Arabidopsis thaliana: one gene and its partners. The protein of the gene in region 1 binds, or shares a complex with, the protein of each later gene. Each region holds a gene or a part of one and is shown in the gene's direction. Other genes may lie near its edges.

Region 1 (4,640 bases):
ATGGAATGAATAAGTTTGAAATTTGGTGCATTCTTAGATATGAGAAGGTGGTTAAAAGGGTATGGTGCAAAGACATATCCATCCCTAGTATTTAATAGATTGAAAGAAGGAATTTTTTTTTGGTTCTAGTTTAATGAGTGAAAATGAAAAAATAAATAAAAAGGCAAATGAAGATGAAGATGAACTCAAACTTTTGACTCTCTAATGTAATCTTATAAGCAAATAACCAACTTTTCTACTGAAAGTTATAAGAAAATGAGGCAAAAGTTTTATTTATATTAGGGAATTTAATGAAAAAAACCCTCAACTTTGGCCAGATCCATTTTTAAACCCTAAACTATGTTTTTAGTAAAACAAACCCTGAACTAAAACCTGTTAATAAACTTAACCCCACAGTAATTAAACAACGTTTAGGGTTAAGTTTATTAACAGGTTTTAGTTCAGGGTTTGTTTTACTAAAAACATAGTTTAGGGTTTAAAAATGGATCTGGCCAAAGTTGAGGTTTTTTTTCATTAAATTCCCTTTATATTAATTGAAGCCGCAAGCATGAGCTTGACCCGTTTGTGCTCATGGATGGCTCTGCTTGTATCTAGTTAGAAGCCGAAACAACTAGTTTTCAGTACGCTATGCATGTAACTCAAAGAATTTGGTGTAAGCAATAAGTGATTCTCATTCTTGGTCGTGCTACATTGAGGGAGATACAACAACCATGGGAAACACTTATGCCTAAGCCTAACTTTTGATTTGGGAGGAGGCAAATGAACTAATGCCTAAGCCTAATATTTTGCACAACTCTACTCGCGTGGCACCTCTTATCATCTTCAAATTGGTGGATCGTGAGCTTCGCAACCTAATCACTTCTCGACGACATCGCAAGCGTTGGCAGCGGCTAATGCTTTTATGGATTCGTTAAACACACCTAAATCTTTTCTAATTCTATTGTAGCCTTGTTTTTATTTTTTTTGCCTTGGTTACTTTTCTATAGGTTGTACGTTCTTGTATTTTCTGAACTCTCATTGTAATGATATTAACAAATTTAGCAAAAAAAAAAAAAAACTAATGTCAAACAAGGATCCTCAAATGCCAAATGTCAAATTAAGTTAGTACCTTTCCATGTTTACAAATTTGAATTTGAAGATGGTAAATTAGAAGAAAAAATGAAATTATGATCATTTTCCTTAATCAAAAGATTCAAAACTATCATTTAAAATTTACTTCTTCATTTTTTGCTCTTAAAAGAAAAAGTAAAAAATTACAAAAAGAGGGGAAAAAAATTTAGAGAGAAAGTGACCAGACACGACGGCGTTTTTGCATCACTTTCACCGAGATTTTTTTTCTGCATCCCGGCGACGAGACTGTGACTCCACCAAACCCTAAAATCAAAATTGCATTTTTTGTTCGATTTTGATTTTGTGGGGATTTTGGAATTTTCCCCGCACTAAGTCGTCTCGTTAACCCCACTTAACAGTTTCTCACTTTGACACTTTCTCTCTCTCTCAACGCACAGTGCTTTCTGTCGCCTTCAATCGCGACTTTTTGTCACACTTGCCCTCTTTTCTCCGATTTTTCTATAAATTTAGGGTTTTGTTTGCTTTCGTTGACATGAATCAGCAAAACCCAGAAGAAGAAGTTTCTTTGGTTAATAATAGCGGTGGTGGAGGAATCATCGAAGCTCCAGCTATAGTGGAGGAGAAAGAGGAAGAAGGATTACAGCAGAAGCAGGAAGAGACTATTGAGTCTACCGATCCGATTCTCGTCGTCGTTGAGGAGAAATTGTTAGAGAAATCAGTAGACGGAGAGAAAGAAGACGATAATAGTAGTAGTAGTAACATGGAGATTGATCCTGTGAGTCCGGCTACAGTTTTCTGTGTTAAGCTTAAGCAGCCCAATTCCAATTTGCTTCATAAGATGAGTGTTCCTGAATTGTGCCGTAACTTCAGGTTTGACTCTCTCTCCCATCGGAAAATCTTTAAATTTCATCAATTCCTGTAAAGTTTTCTCCTTTTCTTTGTGTTAGTGCTGTTGCGTGGTGTGGCAAATTGAATGCTATTGCTTGTGCTTCCGAGACCTGTGCCAGGATTCCAAGGTATGGTTTTTGTTACTTTTCTATGTCTTGAATGTATGGGCAGTGATGAATTTCTCAATTTTCATCTTTCTCTGTTCTCATCTCTTGCAGCTCCAAGGCAAATACACCTTTTTGGATACCAATACATATCTTGATACCTGAGCGCCCTACTGAGTGTGCGGTGTTTAATGTTGTGGCAGGTATTTTGATATCAGTTAATTATTTATGAACTCGGTTGATCTAGTGGGTGATAAACGATTATGATGCAATTTTTTATATGTAGACTCTCCTCGTGATTCTGTCCAATTTATCGAATGGTCTCCCACTTCTTGTCCTCGTGCGTTACTCATTGCTAATTTTCATGGACGTATAACTATCTGGACGCAGCCTACTCAGGTTTGTGCTCCTGATCACTGGGATTTACCTTTATATTTCTTCTTTGTCTTCTGTGTCAAGATGTTTTATGACACCCTCAGATGATTTTTTTTTTGTGGATTGGTTTTGCAGGGTTCGGCTAATTTAGTGCACGACGCTACCTCCTGGCAGTGTGAGCATGAATGGCGTCAGGACATTGCTGTTGTTACAAAGTGGCTGACAGGGGCTTCCCCAGTATGTAATCTTATGTTTTGCTTATTTGCCATTCTATCAAATGCACAGCATATTTGTCCCTTAATGAGTTCGTTAAATTAGTAATGGAGGGCTTGCATGTGAGAGTGGGCACTGGGATTACTAAATCGTGAGTAATTGAACTGGAAATGTCTCTACGTTTTGGAGGAAATGAGATGGAGAAAACACAACGTCCTGGAAATCCCAACTCTCTGTTTGCAAAATTACTAGACTCCTAAAAGATCTTCCAATTTGCGTTTCTTAGATGCATTTCTTTAATGATCGGCATGAACACATAAGGAAATGAGTAACAGATAGATAATAATGCCATTGCAAAGAACATGTTCTGAAGGACTTAATATCATGTTGTTTCTGGCCACCTAGTTTGCTGCTCTAGTTTTATCCTAGGAAATTTATCCTCTATGTTTTCTTTTTATTGATAATCAGTATAGGTGGTTGTCCTCCAAGCCAAGTTCTGGTACAAATGCAAAGTCAACTTTCGAGGAGAAATTTCTCTCGCAGAGCTCTGAAAGCTCAGGTTTTCTTCTGCGTGCCTCTTGTGACTCATTTTTTGATGATATATTCAGAATTATGCACTTAATTTTAATTATGTCAGTTCCTTTGACATCCAAATATATGTGACAAGATCAATACAACATGTTCTGACGTTAGTGCATTTTCCTCCACTTTATGTGACGGTTCTGATTCTCTACCATTTGTTGCAGCTCGGTGGCCCAACTTTCTCTGTGTATGCTCTGTTTTCTCATCCGGCTCTGTTCAAATTCATTGGTCCCAGTGGCCTTCTAACCAGGGAAGCACTGCACCAAAGTGGTTTAGTACAAAGAAAGGTCTTTTAGGTGCAGGGCCAAGTGGAATTATGGCTGCTGATGCTATTATAACAGACAGTGGTGCCATGCATGTAGCAGGAGTTCCAATTGTAAACCCTTCAACAATTGTAGTATGGGAGGTGACCCCTGGCCCTGGAAATGGACTCCAGGCGACTCCAAAAATCTCTACAGGCAGTCGTGTGCCACCATCCCTTAGTTCTTCTTCTTGGACAGGTTTTGCTCCTTTAGCTGCGTACTTGTTTAGCTGGCAAGAATACTTAATATCCGAGATAAAGCAAGGGAAGAAGCCCTCAGATCAAGATTCCAGTGATGCTATATCGCTAAGTTGCTCACCGGTTTCCAATTTTTCTGCTTATGTAAGTCCAGAGGCTGCAGCTCAGTCTGCAGCAACCACAACATGGGGATCTGGTGTTACCGCTGTTGCTTTTGATCCAACTCGTGGTGGTTCAGTGATAGCAGTTGTTATAGTTGAAGGTACTGTTCTCATCCTTCTCGGAACCTCATACTGTTTCCATGATTGAATAAACATTTTCAGGTTTACGTTTAGTTTTTGGTCAATCATTTAGAAATGCTCATATATTGAAGAGCTGCCAGATGAGAAAATGCTAATTTTGTTTGAGTGATGAAGCGCAACAGCTTCAATCTATTGTTTAAAATAAATGCTAATTGTTTGTGTCTGCAGGGCAGTACATGTCTCCGTATGATCCAGATGAAGGTCCTTCAATCACAGGCTGGAGAGTACAGCGCTGGGAATCAAGTGTTCAACCTGTTGTACTGCATCAGATATTTGGAAACCCAACTTCAAATTTTGGAGGACAGGTCCCCACGCAAACTGTCTGGGTATCCAGAGTGGATATGAGCATACCACCTACTAAAGATTTTAAGAATCATCAAGTAGCTGCAGCAGGACCAAGTGTGGATGCACCAAAGGAGCCTGATTCTGGTGATGAGAAGGCTAACAAGGTTGTATTTGATCCTTTTGATTTGCCAAGTGATATTCGGACACTTGCACGGATTGTCTATTCTGCTCATGGTGGTGAAATTGCGATTGCTTTTCTTCGTGGTGGAGTTCATATCTTTTCTGGTCCAACTTTTTCACCTGTTGAAAACTATCAAATAA
Region 2 (7,715 bases), on another chromosome or scaffold:
TTTTCTCGTTTCGAAAACTTAAAACTATGTTTCACTGGACTGAAATATTGAGCAGTTGATACGCACCAACTCTTTCAAACATTGGCGGCTAAAGATATTGCAGAAAACATCAACATATTACACATTTACACATAGACAACCTCTGTCATAAGAAAAGTTTCTCTTTTGACTTATAGGACATGTACACTTGACAAGTTAGGTGAGTTTGATTGTTTCTTAGGTAATGATACTGAAATTTACATTTGTTAAATATGTATAAAACCTTCAACCGGTTTTGTGTTTTGTTTGATGAATATTATGTGATGATTATTCTAAAATCCCCTATAATAAAAAAGTTATAAAAAAAAAAAAATTTTTAGTCTGATTATATTTATATCATAGTTCATTAACAAAACAGTTAAAATAATTGAATTAAGAAAGGACACAAATGTATTTCAAAATTAATTGAAAATCGTCTTTATTTGCTTTTATTTTTAAAATCAGATTATTAAGGATTTTATTCCTTAACTATCTACATATACATTTTTGCAGTCATTTTAGCAAATAAATCTTAGAGTTGGACTTATTTACAACCCAATGCCATTAACATTAAATATTTTCCAAAATAATTAATTTTACTTTAAATTTTTAATTTAAATTGTCAATCACATTATCAATCAAATTTAATCCAAACAAACTTCACATCAATCCCTTAAAATTAGCATAAACGTATTTTATTAACTATATTTTAAAACAATGTTTTTTGTTTAAATAAATATTATTCTTACTAAACGTTTTTTGTTTAAATAAACAAATCATGTATTTGAACTTATTTACAATGTCATACTACTGACATTAATTATTTAGGCATGAAAATATTTATTTAAGGATTTAAATCTTCTAAATTCTTGCTTTTAGAGTTATTATATCATTACCTAAAAGGCAAAAAATATTAATTTTTTAAATATTATTATTTGTATATTTAAACTTCATAAAACATTATCAATATTTGAATTTATAAAAAGTTTAATTTATCAAAAAAATTAACATCATTATATAATATATAGAGTTTTAAAAAATCTCAAAAAAAAATTCGTCATATTTTGTGATTCGAAATTTTAAGAATGAACATATATTAACCAATTGGCGAAAAATGTGTGGGTTCAATGTCACGCAACGACTAAAATATTTTGACAATGATTCATAAACATATTATAAATAAGATCAACATTAATAAAATAAATAGTTTTTTTTTTGGACGGGTTTGGCAGGACATGTTTGGTAGGACGGATTTGGCAGGACGTTACTTAGTAACAATGGTAAACTATAAAATAATTTACAAATTTTATATATATTAATTTTTAAAAATGAATTGTCTCCGCGGTGTATCGCGGGTTAAAATCTAGTAAGGTTTATTTTTCCAACCTATAAAATTATTAATAAAAAATGCTGTTTTGTTAAAAAAAACGTAAACAACATATGTGACTTAATGTACTTTTATTATATCTAATTTTATTATCACTTTATAATCACTTTTCTAAAACGTTTTCTAAAATGAAACGAAAAATATATAATTTATTTAAAATTGAAAAATAGTGGTCATATTATCTAGTTAACAAATTTCTAATACATTTTGCACCAATGCTACCATATTTGAACTGGGAAAACTATACAATTATACATGTGGTAATTAATACTAGATTTTTTTGTTTATTTTGAAAAAAAAAAAAACTTGTTATAAGCGAACTGGTAGGCTCGATTATGATTTACGACGCGAACAAGTTTCCTCTGTCTCTTTACCTAGAAGATCCTATATTCTTCATTCGTTTTTCGATCAAGCTAAACCCTAAATCCAGCTCCAATTTCCCCTTTTTCTCCTCTGTTTTCCTAATATCAAGCCCTAATCGTTGTACCAACCTTGACTCCGTCAAACGCCAAATCTCCTTGATTGGCTCTGAATTTGAGGTGAAATGTTCGAATCTCGTTTTTTTTTCTGTTGTTCTTAAGCCTTGCTTTTTAGAGTTTTCTCTTTTGATCGGGATTCCAAAGAAGATAAAGTATCTCCCTTTGTAGTTGGGTCTGGTTTATTACAATTACGAGAATAGATGAACTTTGTTGATGTAATAAAGTTTGCTTATTTTGAGTTCCTGGATTCTCGTTCCGGTGGGATTGGCTATTTGATGTTTTGAGTTTATTGCTTTTTGCTACCAACATTAGAAAGAATGAACATTTTGGCTGATCAATAAGAAATTCTGAGTGTTAATCTAATCCATGTTGTGTGGTCATTTGTTTCCTGTTGATTTGGGATAATCAGTTGTTATATTGTCATGTTTTGGTTTCTCTGTATACTTACTATTGATACTTTGCTCTTCATGGCTTGTAAACACAGAAAACTTGATGGATAATAACAATTGGAGGCCTTCTCTTCCAAACGGAGAGCCTGCCATGGATACAGGTGACTGGAGAACGCAATTGCCACCTGATTCTCGTCAGAAGATCGTCAACAAGATGTAAGTCACTCTAGCGGCGTTGTTTTGTCTATGCCAGTCAAATACTACAGAAATAGAAGGTTATTATGTTCCTTGACCAATAGTTAGTTTGTTTGTTTTACTTATTTGCTTGCCACTTGCGCAGAATGGAAACACTAAAGAAGCACCTTCCATTTTCCGGACCAGAGGGAATTAACGAGCTCAGGAGAATTGCAGCTAGATTCGAGGAGAAAATTTTCAGCGGTGCTCTTAACCAGGTTATTATGAACATATATTCTTGTTTCGTTAGTATGGTAAATATAGAGATTTGTGAGGCAATGGACTCCACAACATGGAAAAGAACTGACTTTCGGTATCTGTAAAGCTAAGCCACAATATGTTGGGTATGAAATCCATGTATACCTTCCTGATACTCTTTTATATCGCCTTTCAGACTGATTACCTTCGGAAAATATCAATGAAGATGCTGACAATGGAGACTAAATCACAAAATGCAGCTGGTTCTTCCGCAGCTATCCCTGCCGCTAATAATGGCACATCCATAGATTCGAGTAATCACGATTCTCAAGCATGAATTGCTTAAGTCTGTTTATCTGGTTTTATGGCTAATTGTTCCTCTTATTTGATGCTGTTTAACCTTTCCTTGAATAGTACCCACCAATCAAGGCCAACTTCTTCCAGGATCGTTATCAACCAATCAATCTCAAGCACCTCAGCCGTTGCTGTCCCAAACCATGCAGAATAATACTGCCTCTGGAATGACGGGTTCTACTGCTTTACCATCTTCCATGCCACCTGTTTCTTCCATAACCAATAATAACACCACAAGCGTTGTGAACCAGAATGCCAATATGCAAAATGTAGCTGGAATGTTGCAAGATTCATCTGGGCAGCATGGCCTTTCCTCGAACATGTTTTCAGGACCCCAAAGGCAGATGCTGGGTAGGCCACATGCTATGTCTTCACAGCAACAACAGCAGCCATATCTTTACCAGCAGCAGCTACAGCAGCAACTTCTCAAGCAGAACTTCCAGTCAGGGAATGTTCCCAATCCCAATTCGCTTTTGCCATCACACATTCAACAACAGCAGCAAAATGTGCTGCAGCCTAATCAACTGCATTCATCTCAACAACCTGGTGTTCCAACATCTGCGACTCAGCCCTCCACTGTGAACTCAGCTCCTCTCCAAGGTCTCCACACCAATCAGCAATCAAGTCCGCAATTGTCTTCTCAGCAGACGACACAATCTATGCTTCGTCAGCATCAATCGTCGATGCTAAGGCAACATCCGCAATCACAACAAGCCTCTGGTATCCATCAGCAGCAATCTTCATTGCCGCAACAATCAATTTCTCCTCTACAGCAGCAGCCTACACAATTAATGCGGCAACAAGCTGCAAATAGCTCAGGCATCCAACAGAAGCAGATGATGGGGCAGCATGTTGTTGGGGATATGCAGCAGCAACATCAGCAAAGGTTACTGAACCAACAAAATAATGTTATGAACATACAACAGCAGCAGTCGCAGCAGCAACCACTGCAGCAGCCACAGCAACAGCAGAAACAGCAGCCACCGGCCCAGCAGCAGTTGATGTCTCAACAAAACAGCCTCCAGGCAACGCATCAGAACCCACTGGGCACTCAAAGCAATGTTGCAGGATTGCAGCAACCACAACAACAGATGCTCAATTCCCAGGTTGGCAATTCGAGTTTGCAGAATAACCAGCACTCGGTGCACATGTTATCACAACCAACGGTTGGGCTGCAACGAACACATCAGGCTGGCCATGGCTTGTATTCTTCTCAGGGACAACAGTCACAAAATCAGCCATCACAACAGCAGATGATGCCACAGCTTCAATCGCATCATCAGCAGCTGGGTTTGCAACAACAACCTAATCTGCTACAACAGGATGTGCAACAAAGGCTACAAGCTTCAGGCCAAGTCACTGGTTCCCTGCTTCCACCTCAAAATGTTGTGGACCAACAGAGACAACTATATCAATCCCAAAGAACCCTTCCGGAGATGCCATCATGTATGCTTTTGATCCTTTTAATACTTTAGGTTCTGATATTTTCCATAATCTCTCAGCAGGATATGATGCTGAACATATTTTCGTTTTTATAATTCTTAGCATCGCTGGATTCGACAGCACAGACGGAAAGTGCAAATGGAGGTGATTGGCAAGAGGAGGTTTACCAAAAGGTAGTTCTCTCTTTTTGTGTTTGCTATATATCTTTACCAATTATGGCTACACTTATTAAATCTTCAAGTGATAGATATCATTGTAATGAGTAATCATATGACCATATTGCTTGTCTTTGTAGATCAAATCTATGAAAGAGACTTACTTACCAGATCTGAATGAAATCTACCAGAGAGTTGCAGCAAAGTTGCAGCAAGTAAGTTACAATTTTCTTTTCTTTTTTATACTAGGAGAATCGTTTGTACGTCTATGTCCTCTGGAACAGTAGTGAGTACCTTCTGAGAAGCTTTATGAATTCAATGCAAGTTCGGTTCGTTATTGCATAAGAACGTCATCAACTTTGGAGTCTTGTTACCCATTTAACAAAGAAAAAGAAAAAGAATCTTGAGACTCGTATTCTTACAGTTTACTAGAAAATCAACCTGCTGATATTTATGTTCCTTCCCAAACCTACAGAAGTTGTAGCTTGCATCTATGTATTTGTTTCTTTTTTATTTAGTAAGTTATTTTTGTATCTGGAGCAGGATTCTATGCCACAGCAACAAAGATCAGATCAGCTTGAGAAACTGAGACAATTCAAAACAATGTTGGAGCGAATGATACAATTTCTATCTGTTTCAAAGAGCAACATCATGCCCGCATTAAAAGATAAGGTGGCTTATTATGAGAAGCAGATTATAGGTTTCTTAAATATGCACAGGCCGAGGAAGCCAGTACAGCAAGGGCAGCTTCCGCAATCTCAGATGCAGCCTATGCAGCAACCACAATCTCAGACAGTTCAAGATCAATCCCATGATAACCAAACAAATCCGCAGATGCAATCAATGAGCATGCAGGGTGCTGGGCCAAGGGCACAACAGAGTAGTATGACAAATATGCAGAGCAATGTTCTATCATCTCGTCCTGGAGTTTCAGCTCCACAGCAGAACATTCCCAGTTCCATACCGGCTTCTAGTTTAGAATCAGGCCAAGGAAATACCTTGAACAATGGACAGCAGGTTGCCATGGGATCTATGCAACAAAATACTTCTCAACTAGTAAATAACAGTTCTGCCTCTGCTCAAAGTGGGTTGAGCACACTGCAGTCGAATGTGAATCAACCCCAGTTAAGTTCCAGTTTGCTTCAGCATCAGCACCTCAAGCAACAGCAAGATCAACAAATGCAGCTCAAACAGCAATTTCAACAGCGCCAGATGCAACAGCAACAGTTGCAAGCAAGACAGCAACAGCAACAGCAACAGTTGCAAGCAAGACAGCAAGCGGCACAATTACAGCAGATGAATGATATGAATGATTTAACATCGAGGCAGGGGATGAATGTCAGTCGTGGGATGTTTCAGCAACATTCTATGCAGGGTCAGCGTGCGAATTATCCTCTTCAACAGTTAAAACCAGGAGCTGTTTCGTCGCCTCAACTTCTGCAAGGTGCATCTCCTCAGATGTCACAACATTTGTCTCCTCAGGTTGACCAGAAAAATACTGTCAACAAGATGGGAACTCCATTGCAACCTGCAAATTCCCCTTTTGTTGTCCCATCTCCTTCTTCAACCCCCTTGGCTCCGTCCCCTATGCAAGTTGACTCTGAGAAACCTGGTTCTTCTTCGTTGTCAATGGGAAATATTGCACGCCAACAAGCAACCGGCATGCAAGGTGTAGTTCAGTCCCTAGCAATTGGCACTCCAGGGATCTCTGCCTCTCCTCTCCTTCAGGAGTTTACTAGTCCTGATGGGAATATTTTAAATTCTTCGACAATTACATCTGGAAAACCGAGTGCTACTGAGCTGCCTATTGAACGCCTTATTAGAGCCGTAAGTAAATTTCCAATTTTTAAGGGTATATCGCAGCAGGACGGTGATATTGCTGCAAACCCGTTTTGTAATATAATCATTGTTCTGCTTATGATGTATGCTTTGCTTTCAGGTGAAGTCCATCTCACCACAAGCCCTTTCTTCTGCAGTAAGTGACATCGGATCTGTTGTAAGCATGGTTGATCGGATAGCTGGTTCAGCACCAGGAAACGGTTCAAGAGCTTCCGTTGGTGAAGACTTGGTTGCAATGACTAAGTGCCGTCTCCAAGCAAGAAACTTCATGACCCAAGAGGGAATGATGGCGACTAAGAAAATGAAGCGTCACACAACCGCAATGCCACTAAGCGTTGCTTCACTGGGAGGAAGTGTTGGTGATAACTACAAGCAGTTTGCTGGTTCAGAAACATCCGATCTAGAATCTACTGCGACTTCGGATGGCAAGAAGGCAAGAACTGAGGTATGATACTCAGTTAGACTTCCCCTAGCTATATTTGAATATTGACACACACTCACACACACACACACACACGTAACAAAGAAAATTTGGAAGCACAAGGTTTCGATATTCTTTTTTTTTTGAAGACTCAATCTTGAACTGCAGACCGAGCATGCCCTTTTGGAGGAAATAAAGGAAATAAACCAGCGGCTGATAGATACAGTTGTTGAGATAAGTGATGATGAAGATGCTGCTGATCCTAGTGAGGTTGCAATATCAAGCATAGGGTGTGAAGGAACAACAGTTAGATTCTCGTTTATAGCTGTTTCTCTCAGCCCAGCCTTGAAGGCTCATCTCTCATCAACACAAATGGTAAACATGGTCATCTCGTTAACATTAACGTTTTGTGAAACAAAATATTTCATTTATCCTTTTTTATAATATATGCTTTGTGCTTCTATTACAGTCTCCTATTCAACCATTGCGTCTGCTGGTTCCTTGTAGCTACCCCAATGGCTCTCCATCTCTTCTAGATAAACTCCCGGTCGAAACCAGGTACAAGCAAATCCTTCAGTCTCAAGTAAATAGAACCATAGATTTTCCGTACCGAGTCGAGCAAACTTCTACGATACAGTTAAAATCTTCACAAGAATCATCTACTAGAAACCCTTTATTAGAAACTGCGTTATCTTCTTACCGTAACACGGTCTGGTTTCTTGAACAGCAAAGAAAACGAGGACCTGTCGTCCAAAGCTATGGCAAGGTTCAACATATTGCTAAGAAGTTTGTCACAGC
Region 3 (7,852 bases), on another chromosome or scaffold:
GCTAGAATTAGAAAGAAGAAGCAAGTTCTTGAACAGTTTGATACAGAAGAAGAAGGCTAAAGAACAGCAAGATCAGAAAGATGAGTTCAATGTTCGTGTTAGGGCTTCAGATATGCCTTTGCCTCAACAGAACAGAGCCTTTAGTTTGTCGCGTGAGATTTTGAATGCTACTCCAGGGAAGGCTGATAACAAAAGACTCGCTCATGCCCTAAAAAAGGTTAGATCTTTTGTATCTCTCTCATGATTTTTCTGTATTTGGGTTGAATTGGAGTCATTGAAGTCTAGTACTTGGATTGAGTTTTGAATTTTGACACAGAATCTAAAAGTATTGAGCTGCTTTTGGGTTCTAGGGCTACGTCTCAAAGTCGCATGCTTTTTGTAGAATGTGGTTATGGTCTTCTCTTTCTTGATTGGTTTGAAGATGTGATGAATCTTGAATTTGGATTTTCGTTTGTGTACTTGCATATTGTTGAACTTCATGGATGGTCCCATATTTGTTAGGTTGCATTTGACTTTGTTCCATTGTTGTTGTCTTTTCTATTTGTAGCTTCGGTTAGTCTACTTGACTAGGTTGTTTTTGTATTGCGAGGATAACTGTAGTAGGAGTCTCGTTGTGAAATGTCTTGAAACTGGATGTTCTTGTTGTTTATTGAGATGATTTTGGAGCTGTCTTAGGCCATAACTAATGAGGCATAGCATGCACCATCTGCTAAGCTTCTGTATCTTTGCTGTTAGAAATTAGTTGCTACCTAATGATAACTCTGAAGCATGCTTGCTTTAGGAAGTGAGCCTTGCCTGAATACAACCTTTTACAAAGGACTTGGTTCGACACCCCATATATAGAGTTGTCCATTTATGCAGTTGTTTCTCGTGAGGATATTGTTCCTTCTTAAAGCGGCTTTGATAATTAGCTTTTGATTTTAACTTATGGAGCGAAATGGAGCAGTTCCCTCAATTTATGCGACTAGGTAGAGGCATTGATTGATCCATACATTGATTTTATGAAGTGGTTGAGTAAAACAATTTAGTGTTCACTTATCTGTGTGCAGCTTACTTGTTTGTCTCAGTGTTCATCAATCTCTTAATAATGGCTACCTCCCTTTGGCTTTTAGGATTGACATACGAGTCAATTTCTGCTGTTGTCTTGTTTTATCTTCTTGTTCTGGTAATATAGATCTCTTATCTCGAAATAGATCTTCATATGTTTCTTGTCTCTATGTTTTCTCCTAAATCCAGCTTCTATGTTATCCACTGAAGTGAATCTTAGACTCCCATCTGTCTAATGACATGTTGCAGCTGATTTAAAACTATATATTCACGAAACAGTTTTCCATCTGTCTTCCATTTCAGGACTTCGATTCAGCCTACGGCCCGGCATGGCACTGCATTGTTGGAACAAGCTTTGGTTCATACGTGACTCATTCCACAGGAGGATTCCTATATTTTCAGATCGACAAAGTTTACGTTCTTCTCTTCAAGACTGCCGTGGAGCCGTTAGATCAAAAATGAGATAAAACGTTGATGATCAGAGCATCTTCAATTTAATCCTTTTCTTTTAGAATTCTCTGTCTTGTATCCCACAATGTAATTCTGCCTAAGACAAAATCTTTGTGGCTCCTATTGTGTAATTAGAAGTCATCTTCTCTACTGTGAATCGTTTCAACTTCACAATGCAAAATATTGTTCTTCTCTTTCTCAAATTCTAATTTTGTTTTTTTCGTTGTTGTGTTGTTGTTGTTGTTGACATTTTCTTCTCTTCAAAAGAGCTTTAAACCCAAAACCTCTAATACCAATTTTGCTCCTCCGTTTTATAAGCATCAAAGAAAAAAAGAATCAGTGAAGAAGAAAAAAAAATGGATCAATCGCAGCGAACAGTCGCTGCAACGCCATCGTCTTCTCGATCGTACCAATTCCACCCAGCTCGTGCTGCAATTATCGATCTTTTCAATCTCTACTTAGGGGTTGGTTAATCTCTTCTCCAATCTCCCAATTTTTTTCATCGAATTTTGTTTCTCTGCTGATTTTGCTTTCTCTATCACAGAGAGGAAGCCGTCAAAAGCCTGATGAGTCCCTCCGAGATCCCCCGTATGTTGTTTCTATTGATTCTGAATCAACTCTTGTTTTCTCTTCCTTCTGTGTTTGATTTTATCCATGTTGATTGTTTTGATCAGGAACAAATCACAGAAGCGTGTTCATGCTCCTAATAGAGACTTACCACCAAGAAACGAGCAATTCCTTTTGGATTTTGAGCTGCTTCAGAGCCAATTCAATGTAAAGTCTCGTTTTTTAACTATCTTTATCTTTCTCTTTGTGATTTCGTAAGATAAAGTTTTTTTTTTTTTTCCAACTCTTTGTTAGGATCCAGAGCAATTGAGGACGATTACTGAGTCAGTTTTGATATCTCTGGTGGTGCAATGTAGCAATCATGCGCCTCGTGCTGAGTTTCTACTCTTTGCTTTGCGTACATTGTGTAGGATTAGTTATATCAATTGGGATACTTTTTTACCATCCCTTCTCTCTTCCGTTTCCGCTGCTGAGGCGTCGTTAAGCCAAGGTGTTCAAGCAGCAGCGGCAACGGCTGGTTCTTCTGCTACTTCTTCGCAGTCTGTAGTTCCTGTGTCTGTGAATCCAACGTCATTGCTGCCTTCAGCTCATGGTATTGGTTCTCCATCAGCTTCAGAGGTGAAATCTGTGGAGAATGGGCAGCAGATTGCAAGAGCTGGCCAGATTGTAAGAGAGAATGCTATGAGAAATAGTCAACGGATTAGAGCTGCTGCTGTAAACAGTCTGCGTCAGCTCAGTTGCAAGATTATCTTGATTGGCGTTGAATCTAGTCTCAAACCCGTTACTCATGCCGAGATTTTCCAGTACATGATGAATTGGCTTGTTAACTGGGACAGGAGAGATCTGGGAACTGAGGACTCTGTAGGAAAGTCGTGGAGATCTGAGAAGACTTTAGCTGAATGGTTGCGGAGTTGTTTGGATGTGATCTGGCTGTTGGTAGAAGAGGGTGAATCTCGAATTCCGTTTTATGAGTTATTGCGCAGTGGTCTACAGTTTATAGAGAACATACCTGATGATGAAGCCTTGTTCACTCTTATCATGGAGATACACCGGAGGCGAGATGCGATGGCCATGCATATGCTCATGTTGGACCAACATCTTCACTGTCCATCATTTGGTACCCATCGTATAGTCTCCCAAATAACTGCCAATGTTCCACCCGAAGCTGTGCCACACTTACGACATTCACCAATTACATATCCAAGTGTGCTTGGGGAACCTTTATATGGAGAGGTGATTCCTATGAAATTGTGGAGATTGGTTTCATAGCTTAGTTGGCTCTTGTTGATATTGTGTAATGTATACGCTTTTCATTAGGCAGACAATTTGTGAATTTCAATCCTCTCTTCTTCTTTTTCGACACCGGCAGGATCTGGCGATGTCTATTCCAAAAGGAAGCCTGGATTGGGAGAGAGCAGTGCGTTGCATTAGACATGCTATTCGCACTACACCGTCACCGGACTGGTGGAAGCGTGTTCTTGTTGTGGCCCCTTGTTATAGACCATCTACACAAGCAGGGCCTATCCCTGGTGCTGTATTCACTTCTGACATGATTTGTGAGGCAATCATTGACAGAATTGTTGAGCTTCTTAAGCTGACCAACTCAGGCAATGTTTGTCTTTCCCTATTTCTCATGTCTTTGATCTGTCACTTCCATTTAAATCTGTGGAAATTATTTTGAAATAGCAAGTGGTTTTGCTAGTCGTCACAATCTGTAAAGAACCTACATCCTTTACGTTTTATTCTAGTTCTATAATCGTTGATTCGTTAGGCTTAGATAGAAAAGATAAAAGTAAGAGTTGAGATACCATTATACTAGGATTGCTTTGGTATTGATTTGGTATCTGTTACTTTTCCCCCTCTCTATGCAGATGCAAATTGCTGGCAAGAGTGGCTGGTTTTCTCGGATATATTCTTCTTTCTAATCAAAAGTGGGTGTACTGATTTTGTTGATTTCATTGACAAGTTGGTTTTACGCCTTAACGGTGTTGATAACCATATTCTTCGGACGAATCATGTGACTTGGCTGCTTGCACAAATAATACGCGTGGAGCTTGTGATGACTGCTTTGAACTCAGATGCTAAAAAGGTCGTTACTCAATTACAATGATATGTTTGCAGCTGCAATGCAATTACTTGTACTTCTTTTTCGGCGAATTTAACATCCCAATTTGTGCTCTATTTGGGTTTTCTCTCAGGTGGAGACTACTAGGAAGATCTTATCATTTCACAGGGAAGACAGAAATTCTGATCCCAACAATCCTCAGAGTGTGTTGCTTGACTTCGTAAGCAGTTGTCAGAATCTACGGATTTGGTCACTAAGCACAACAACTAGGGCATACCTAAACAATGAACAGCTGTTGAAGGGAAAACAGATCGATGAGTGGTGGAGAAGCAAAGGTACATAAGGTTTCAATGGCAGGGCTTAGACTAGGAAGCAGAGAATCCCGATTATAAAAAGCATCCTCTCATTCTGTTTCTTGTTTGGGGTTGTCAGGAGAGCGGATGATGGATTATATGAATATGGATGATAGGTCGATTGGCATGTTTTGGGTTGTTTCCTACACCATGGCACAACCAGCATGTGAAACAGTTATAAATTGGCTATCTTCAGCTGGCATGGCTGAGTTACCGGGATTACAGCCAAACGACCGAGTAATGATGACGCAGGAAGTTACCCCGTTACCTATGTCATTGCTATCTGGCTTTTCAATGAATTTGTGCTTGAAATTGGCCCTTCAGATGGAAGAAGCTTTGTTTGTTAGCCAGGTTTGTTTCCTTTGTCTCACAAAGATATTATATATGTTAATTGATACACTGATCTATGAAGAACATCTTCTTTGGTCATTTTTACTTAGTGACCTATTTTCTCCACGGTTTAGTAAAACAACTTTAGCGTTTTACTTGTTTAAAAATGTTAATAGTAGATTTTAAAAAACCTGAGAAAAATGAATTTAGTGTCGTAGTAAAACATCTGAGTGCAGGTTGTTCCTAGCATTGCAATGGTTGAGACATACACAAGATTGCTTCTGATTTCCCCTCATTCGATGTTCCGTTCACATTTCAGTGTAAGCTATTTGGTTCCTTCTGTTACCTTTTGACTTTCATTATCTTATGTTTTATTGATCATAAGCGATTCATAAGATTAGCTAACTTTCTGTAGCAATTGGCCCAGCGAAATGCTTCTCTGCTAAGCAAGCCTGGAGTGACGTTACTTGTTCTTGAGATTCTGAACTATCGGTTGCTGCCACTCTACAGGTAAAACGAGCGAAAAGTTCTCAAGTTGGAGTAGATCCTTCTTTATGTTTTAACTGGGTCATTCTTTTAGTTAGATGACAATTGTTTCGGGCTTTCGCCATATTGGCTGTTAGACCCGACTAAACAAAATTACTGATCTTATTGCAGATACCAAGGAAAGAGTAAAACTTTAATGTATGATGTTACTAAAATAATATCTGCATTGAAAGGAAAACGTGGTGACCACCGTATATTCAGACTAGCTGAAAACTTATGCATGAATCTCATTTTATCACTCAGAGACTTTTTCTCTGTGAAACGGGAGGGAAAAGTAAGTGGTGTTTTCGAATTACTCACTGTCCCCCTTCTTATTTTGTGCCTGGATCTCAGGTGTAAATAATTGTTCTTATGTTATCATCACTAGGGGCCAACTGAATTCACTGAGACGTTAAATCGCATAACCATCATGACTCTTGCTATCACTATCAAAACACGTGGTATCGCAGACCCTGATCACATGGTTTATCTGCAAACCATGTTGGAACAAATACTCGCGACGAGTCAGCATACATGGTCAGAGAAGACGATGCGGCATTTCCCATCCCTTCTCCGTGAAACTTTGAAAGGACGGGTAGACAAGAGGGGCCTATCAATTCAGGCATGGCAACAGGCTGAAACAACTGTGATAAACCAGTGCACTCAACTTCTCTCACCATCTGCTGAACCCGCTTACGTTTCAACATACCTCAGTCACAGTTTTCCTCAACACCGTCAGTATCTATGTGCTGGTGCTTGTCTGCTGATGCAAGGCCACGCTGAAAACATCAACAGCACAAATCTGGTTTGCTTTGCTTAGTCTATTCATAATTGTGAAATGATTGTTTGTTGATAGTGGTATGATTTTCTCTTCCAAATGATTATCAGGCACGAGTTCTGAGAGAAGTTTCTCCTGAAGAAGTCACTGCTAACATATACACTTTGGTCGATGTTTTGCTTCACCACGTTCATGTAGACCTTCAGCAAGGACAATCTCTAGAGGTTTCTGTCTGCCAGAAGAGATTAACCTCACTTTTCGTTGCTTGATCCATCTTCTTACATTGCATCGTAATATTTTTTAGGCAGTTCTAGACAAGGCAGGCGCAAATCTTGCATTTTTCTTCTGGACACATGAAATGCTTCCTCTCGACATTTTTCTTTTGGCGCTCATTGACCGTGATGATGATCCTCACGCCTTGATAATTGCAGTATGTTCATGCTTTTACGTAAAAGAAGCTTAACATCATAGAAATTTTACAGTGTTGTTTTCAATTTATTTACAGATGAGCCTACTTAAAACGCCAGACCTTCTGCTGAGGATAAAAAACTACTGCCAAAACCGTGGGTCTCCTGAGCACTGGCTTGTCACACAGGTGTTCAAACGCAATGAACTCCAGAAGGCCCTGGGTAACCATCTTTCTTGGAAGGACAGGTAATATATCCAATTCAACATCAGTGTAACTGATTTCTAACAACAATTTCACTTAAGTACATGGCTTTGATTGTTTGATTGGTTTTGTTGGCATCCAACCATAAATGTGTGATGGAACCTTCCATGAAAACTTGTGTATGACTAGGAAATAGTTGAATTTTGGTTTGATCTGTTTTAATTTTGGTGTTGGATTCTGCTAAAGTTGGGTAAATGTTTTACCTATTTTTTTATTGTGTTAAACGCAGGTATCCAACGTTCTTTGATGATATTGCAGCGCGTTTGCTTCCAGTTATCCCTCTAGTGCTTTACAGGCTCATCGAGAACAATGCGATGGAGCAAGCTGATAATCTTTTGCTTGCACACTCGCATTTTCTAGCGTATCATCCTCTCAGATTCACGTTTGTCCGTGATATACTAGCCTATTTCTATGGCCATCTTCCTGGGAAACTTGTTCTGCGCATGCTCAAAGTACTTGATCTCAGCAAGGTAATTGAAAACAATTCCCGATCTTACATTGATTCTGAAATTGACCTCAAGTTGATGCCGCTTTTGGATTTTAGTTTAGAGATTTTGTTTCTCACCAATTTATCTAGATACCTTTGTCCGTAATCGTTTCCACATTCGATTAAAATGGAACGTAACAAATCTTTTGACATTTCCGCAGATTCCATTCTCTGAATCATTCCCGCAGTACATTAGCCCTACCGGTGCACCTGTATGCCCACCTCTAGATTACTTTGCCTCTCTTCTGCTTAATCTCGTAAACAATGTTATACCTCCACTTAGCAGCAGCAGCAACTGCAGCTCGAGGTCTGGCTCAATGGCAGACATCTTAAACAGCTCAGCAAGACCTCCTCATGGAAAAACTCCAGGAACATCTCAGCCTGGACCAGCAAACGCCTCTGAGGGCCAGAAAGCATTCTATCAGATCCAGGACCCAGGAACTTACACGCAACTGGTTCTTGAGACAGCCGTGATCGAGATCCTCTCGCTTCCTGTCTCTGCTGCTCAGATTGTCTCTTCGCTTGTCCAGATAATTGTCAACATACAATCGACTCTGATTCAATCTGGAAACGGGTTCCA
Region 4 (3,484 bases), on another chromosome or scaffold:
TCTGAGCTTTGATGTTCTTATCGTCAATAACGAGCGTTCGAGTATTGAAATCGACACCGAATTGTGGCTTTGGAATCCATACTGAATTCGTCTCTTGTGAACCGAGCTCGTAGCTGTGACTTCCCAACCGCTGAATCTCCGTTCAAAACAACCTTGAATACGTAGTCAACCTCTTCTTCAGCCATCTTCTTCTTCGCTCGCAGTCGGCGATCGAACGACGTCGATTTTCTCGCTGTTTTTACACTCTCCGGTGGACTGAGAGATTAAACTAATCGTAGGGTTAAAATGTAATCCTCTACGGTAGAGAGTACTAGAGTGTATGGTAGTCAAAGTCGTCATACGTGGATTTGATTAATGATTGCTACACGTGTATCGCATTGATAGGTTCTCTTGCTCGGATCACTAATACATAAACTTGGATACAACCCAAAGCTTGACCTATTTTTGTTGAACACCTTTTTGTTTTTATATTTTTCATCCTCTGAAACAAGTCCATAGACTCTTGTATTAATATATCCTGATGATATTTGGTTTTACATTTGCATCTTGTATCATTGTAAACAATTCATAAGCCTTCCCACAAAAGCATGCTTGGCATTTGACAATTGGCAATTCATAAATGATGCATTATAAGCATAAATATCAACTTGGATATTCAACTTGGCCCGTGTATTATGCTACCTCTACAAATTTGGTGAGGTAGGTTAAAATGAGGCCGGTTTGAGTTACCGGTATATTAGACGAGCATTAACATGATTACACACTTGAGGATATTATTGACGAATGAAGAAACTAAAATGGTTTAGTTAATGCAAAATTGAGGATTCATTCGTCTATTGAAATAGAGAAGAATTGTTTGAGGCTAAAATAAATATATTTACATTTTTCCTATTCTCCTCCAAACTTTTCGTAAACATGGTTATTTGACTTATTTTTGAACTTTTTATCTAATAATTTAAAGGATTGTGGTGATGTAGTGGCCACTTAATCTACACAACATCGCAATAATTTTGACAAAATTTTCTACATATTTCTTGTCAACAATTATAAGGAATTAACACATTCTACTTAGTAGACATTTACAGTAATCACAACCAAGATGAAATAACCATATATAAATATCATTTGCTATGTTCATAAACTTTATCGAAACTAGTTGACTTCTTAAAATGCCAACTAATTAGGTTAGGGTTCATGAACTTTTTAGCAAAGATAGCACAAACTAAATTCTATCTTCAACCTAACTAATGACGGTTTACTCCGGTTAACCGGTGGTTATGTTCTCATCATGCGGCCAACTAAGCTAATGGGCTATTTGGTGATCACTAATCAATGACCGAGATGCACTAGAGTTTTTATTATGATCGAGTTCCCAAAAAAGGGGCAACAAGAAAAAACGAAATGGCCTATACAGGGATCGAACCTGTGACCTTCGCGTTATTAGCACGACGCTCTAACCAACTGAGCTAATAGGCCATCTTGCTTTATCTACAGCTAACTACTATATAACAACTACACAAGTGATTCTAGTAACTAGCTAAAATTCTCCGGTGTTAAAAAATCTCAGATTCGCTCCCGAGGACGATTTAGGAAGCTTTCGTTAGTTTTTCCAATTTCGGATTTGGTCTTGTTGAGAATATATTTACGATTTTAATTGAGAGATTTTGTGATAGCTCAATGTCAATGGAGTGTGTGGTTCAAGGAATCATCGAGACACAGGTTCGTTTGTATTTTTTGATTGACGAACAAATCCCAAGTTTTTCGAGTTCATGGATCAGCTTTTAGCTTTCTTATGATGTCCAATTGATAAACCCTAGGCTTGAATTTTTATTAGAATTTGATTAGATTTTCTACTGGATTTTGCAGCATGTTGAAGCTCTTGAGATTCTTCTTCAAGGTCTTTGTGGTGTTCAACGCGAACGTTTAAGAGTTCATGAGTTATGCTTAAGAAGCGGCCCAAATCTTGGTAAAGCCAATTCCTTTTGTTAAATTCAGAAACTTGAAGCTTCCTATGAATCATACATGATTCACATTTGTGAAATCTTCACTTTTTCAGGAGTTGTGTCATCAGAAGTTAGGCTATTATGTGATCTTGATCAACCCGAACCCACATGGTACAGCTTCTTCTTGTTGTTGTTGTTGTTGTATATGTTCTTGTTTCATTCAAAGGAAGCTAATTTAAGAACCATAGGACGGTTAAACATGTTGGTGGTGCGATGAGAGGTGCAGGAGCTGATCAAATCTCTGTTTTGGTTAGAAATATGATTGAAAGTAAAGTAAGCAAGAATGCTTTGCGTATGTTCTATGCACTCGGTTACAAACTAGACCATGAGCTTCTCAAAGTCGGATTCGCCTTTCATTTCCAACGGACTGCGCACATAAGTGTTTCTGTATCTTCTGTTAATAAGATGCCTAAAGTTCATGCTATAGATGAGGCTGTTCCTGTAACACCTGGTATGCAGATTGTTGATGTAACTGCTCCTGCAACTTCTGAGAATTACAGTGAAGTCGCTGCTGCTGTTTCATCTTTCTGTGAATTTCTTGCTCCGTAAGTTCATCTGATATATTTTACAGCACCTGTGATAGTGTCTTTGATATAAGCTTCATCAGTGATATGATTCCTTGTGTTTTCAGGCTTGTTCACTTGTCGAAACCGTCTATCTCCACGGGGGTTGTGCCAACCGCTGCTGCGGCGGCTGCATCTCTTATGTCGGATGGAGGAGGTACTACATTGTAAGAAGTTTGAAGTTAAAAACAACTGTTCTTGTGTTCTCTCTTGTTAGATCTTTTGGTCCAATCTAGTCAATTTTCCAGATTACACAATGGTTGTGAAATCTTGTGAACCATTAGAGTTAAGTATTATTTAATGAGAATCAGTAAGGGATCTTTAATAAATATTCTTTATAAATCACAACTTGCATATGATCTTTGCTCTTCTCTCAACCTTTTGGTATTATGATGTTTCATTGTTGTCACTTGTCAGTAGATTGATAGTTTATGAAGCTTCGAACATGATTAAAATAATGTGAATGTCTTTGTGGAATTACATACTATTTTATTTATCATTCAATCACTAATAAATTCCAATTTGAAAGCCTATTAAAACCTAACATATTAAAAATTTGAACCACAAAAAAATGAATTCTAAAATTCTTCCATTTCCACAACAATAATCATCTTCCTCCACTTGCTTCTTCTTTTTTCAAGAGCCATTCTAAATATCACAAGCCAGAGTAGAAAAATGTATATGTATAGAGAGATTCATAATTTCAATGTCAAAATTTTCGTGTTTCTAATCATCTACTGGTGCTATTAGCAGTCTTGTTCTTGCTCATATCAGCAAGCTCTTCAATAAGTTTTTTCTCCTCTTTGCTCAATCTCTTAGGTATCTCCACTTGTACTCTCACCAACTGATCTCCTCTCATATTACTCTTGTTCAATACCGGAACTCCTTTTTTCGCCATCACAAGCGTCGTGCTAGGTT

Evidence for each region.
Region 2: SFR6 (region 1) and NRB4 share a complex: the UniProt entries of both Arabidopsis thaliana proteins name them as parts of the mediator complex.
Region 3: SFR6 (region 1) and AT1G23230 share a complex: the UniProt entries of both Arabidopsis thaliana proteins name them as parts of the mediator complex.
Region 4: SFR6 (region 1) and AT2G22370 share a complex: the UniProt entries of both Arabidopsis thaliana proteins name them as parts of the mediator complex.

The regions. Positions count from the first base shown.
Region 1 is NC_003075.7:2,496,328-2,500,967, forward strand, and holds the start of SFR6 (sensitive to freezing 6), read left to right. Parts: upstream 1-1,603; coding exon 1,604-1,941; intron 1,942-2,018; coding exon 2,019-2,087; intron 2,088-2,177; coding exon 2,178-2,266; intron 2,267-2,349; coding exon 2,350-2,462; intron 2,463-2,573; coding exon 2,574-2,675; intron 2,676-3,119; coding exon 3,120-3,210; intron 3,211-3,397; coding exon 3,398-3,994; intron 3,995-4,202; coding exon 4,203-4,640. UniProt on the Arabidopsis thaliana protein: Component of the Mediator complex, a coactivator involved in the regulated transcription of nearly all RNA polymerase II-dependent genes.
Region 2 is NC_003070.9:5,430,583-5,438,297, reverse strand, and holds the start of NRB4 (mediator of RNA polymerase II transcription subunit 15a-like protein), read left to right. Parts: upstream 1-1,679; 5' UTR 1,680-1,944; intron 1,945-1,945; exon of another isoform or gene 1,946-2,084; coding exon of another isoform or gene 2,085-2,142; intron 2,143-2,368; coding exon of another isoform or gene 2,369-2,376; coding exon 2,377-2,489; intron 2,490-2,613; coding exon 2,614-2,725; intron 2,726-2,901; coding exon 2,902-3,019; intron 3,020-3,119; coding exon 3,120-4,505; intron 4,506-4,604; coding exon 4,605-4,675; intron 4,676-4,797; coding exon 4,798-4,872; intron 4,873-5,200; coding exon 5,201-6,484; intron 6,485-6,596; coding exon 6,597-6,941; intron 6,942-7,085; coding exon 7,086-7,292; intron 7,293-7,386; coding exon 7,387-7,715. UniProt on the Arabidopsis thaliana protein: Component of the Mediator complex, a coactivator involved in the regulated transcription of nearly all RNA polymerase II-dependent genes.
Region 3 is NC_003070.9:8,242,628-8,250,479, forward strand, and holds the start of AT1G23230 (mediator of RNA polymerase II transcription subunit), read left to right. Parts: upstream 1-1,812; 5' UTR 1,813-1,853; coding exon 1,854-1,961; intron 1,962-2,041; coding exon 2,042-2,085; intron 2,086-2,171; coding exon 2,172-2,271; intron 2,272-2,358; coding exon 2,359-3,297; intron 3,298-3,433; coding exon 3,434-3,676; intron 3,677-3,883; coding exon 3,884-4,153; intron 4,154-4,262; coding exon 4,263-4,464; intron 4,465-4,561; coding exon 4,562-4,833; intron 4,834-5,048; coding exon 5,049-5,132; intron 5,133-5,227; coding exon 5,228-5,322; intron 5,323-5,469; coding exon 5,470-5,632; intron 5,633-5,725; coding exon 5,726-6,142; intron 6,143-6,225; coding exon 6,226-6,339; intron 6,340-6,419; coding exon 6,420-6,545; intron 6,546-6,620; coding exon 6,621-6,769; intron 6,770-7,014; coding exon 7,015-7,255; intron 7,256-7,433; coding exon 7,434-7,852. Other genes in the region: AT1G23220 (Dynein light chain type 1 family protein), read left to right, coding at 1-217, 1,351-1,509. UniProt on the Arabidopsis thaliana protein: Component of the Mediator complex, a coactivator involved in the regulated transcription of nearly all RNA polymerase II-dependent genes.
Region 4 is NC_003071.7:9,500,272-9,503,755, reverse strand, and holds AT2G22370 (mediator of RNA polymerase II transcription subunit), read left to right. Parts: upstream 1-1,545; 5' UTR 1,546-1,677; coding exon 1,678-1,719; intron 1,720-1,866; coding exon 1,867-1,966; intron 1,967-2,056; coding exon 2,057-2,114; intron 2,115-2,191; coding exon 2,192-2,548; intron 2,549-2,634; coding exon 2,635-2,737; 3' UTR 2,738-2,972; downstream 2,973-3,484. Other genes in the region: AT2G22360 (DNAJ heat shock family protein), read right to left, coding at 3,297-3,484. UniProt on the Arabidopsis thaliana protein: Component of the Mediator complex, a coactivator involved in the regulated transcription of nearly all RNA polymerase II-dependent genes.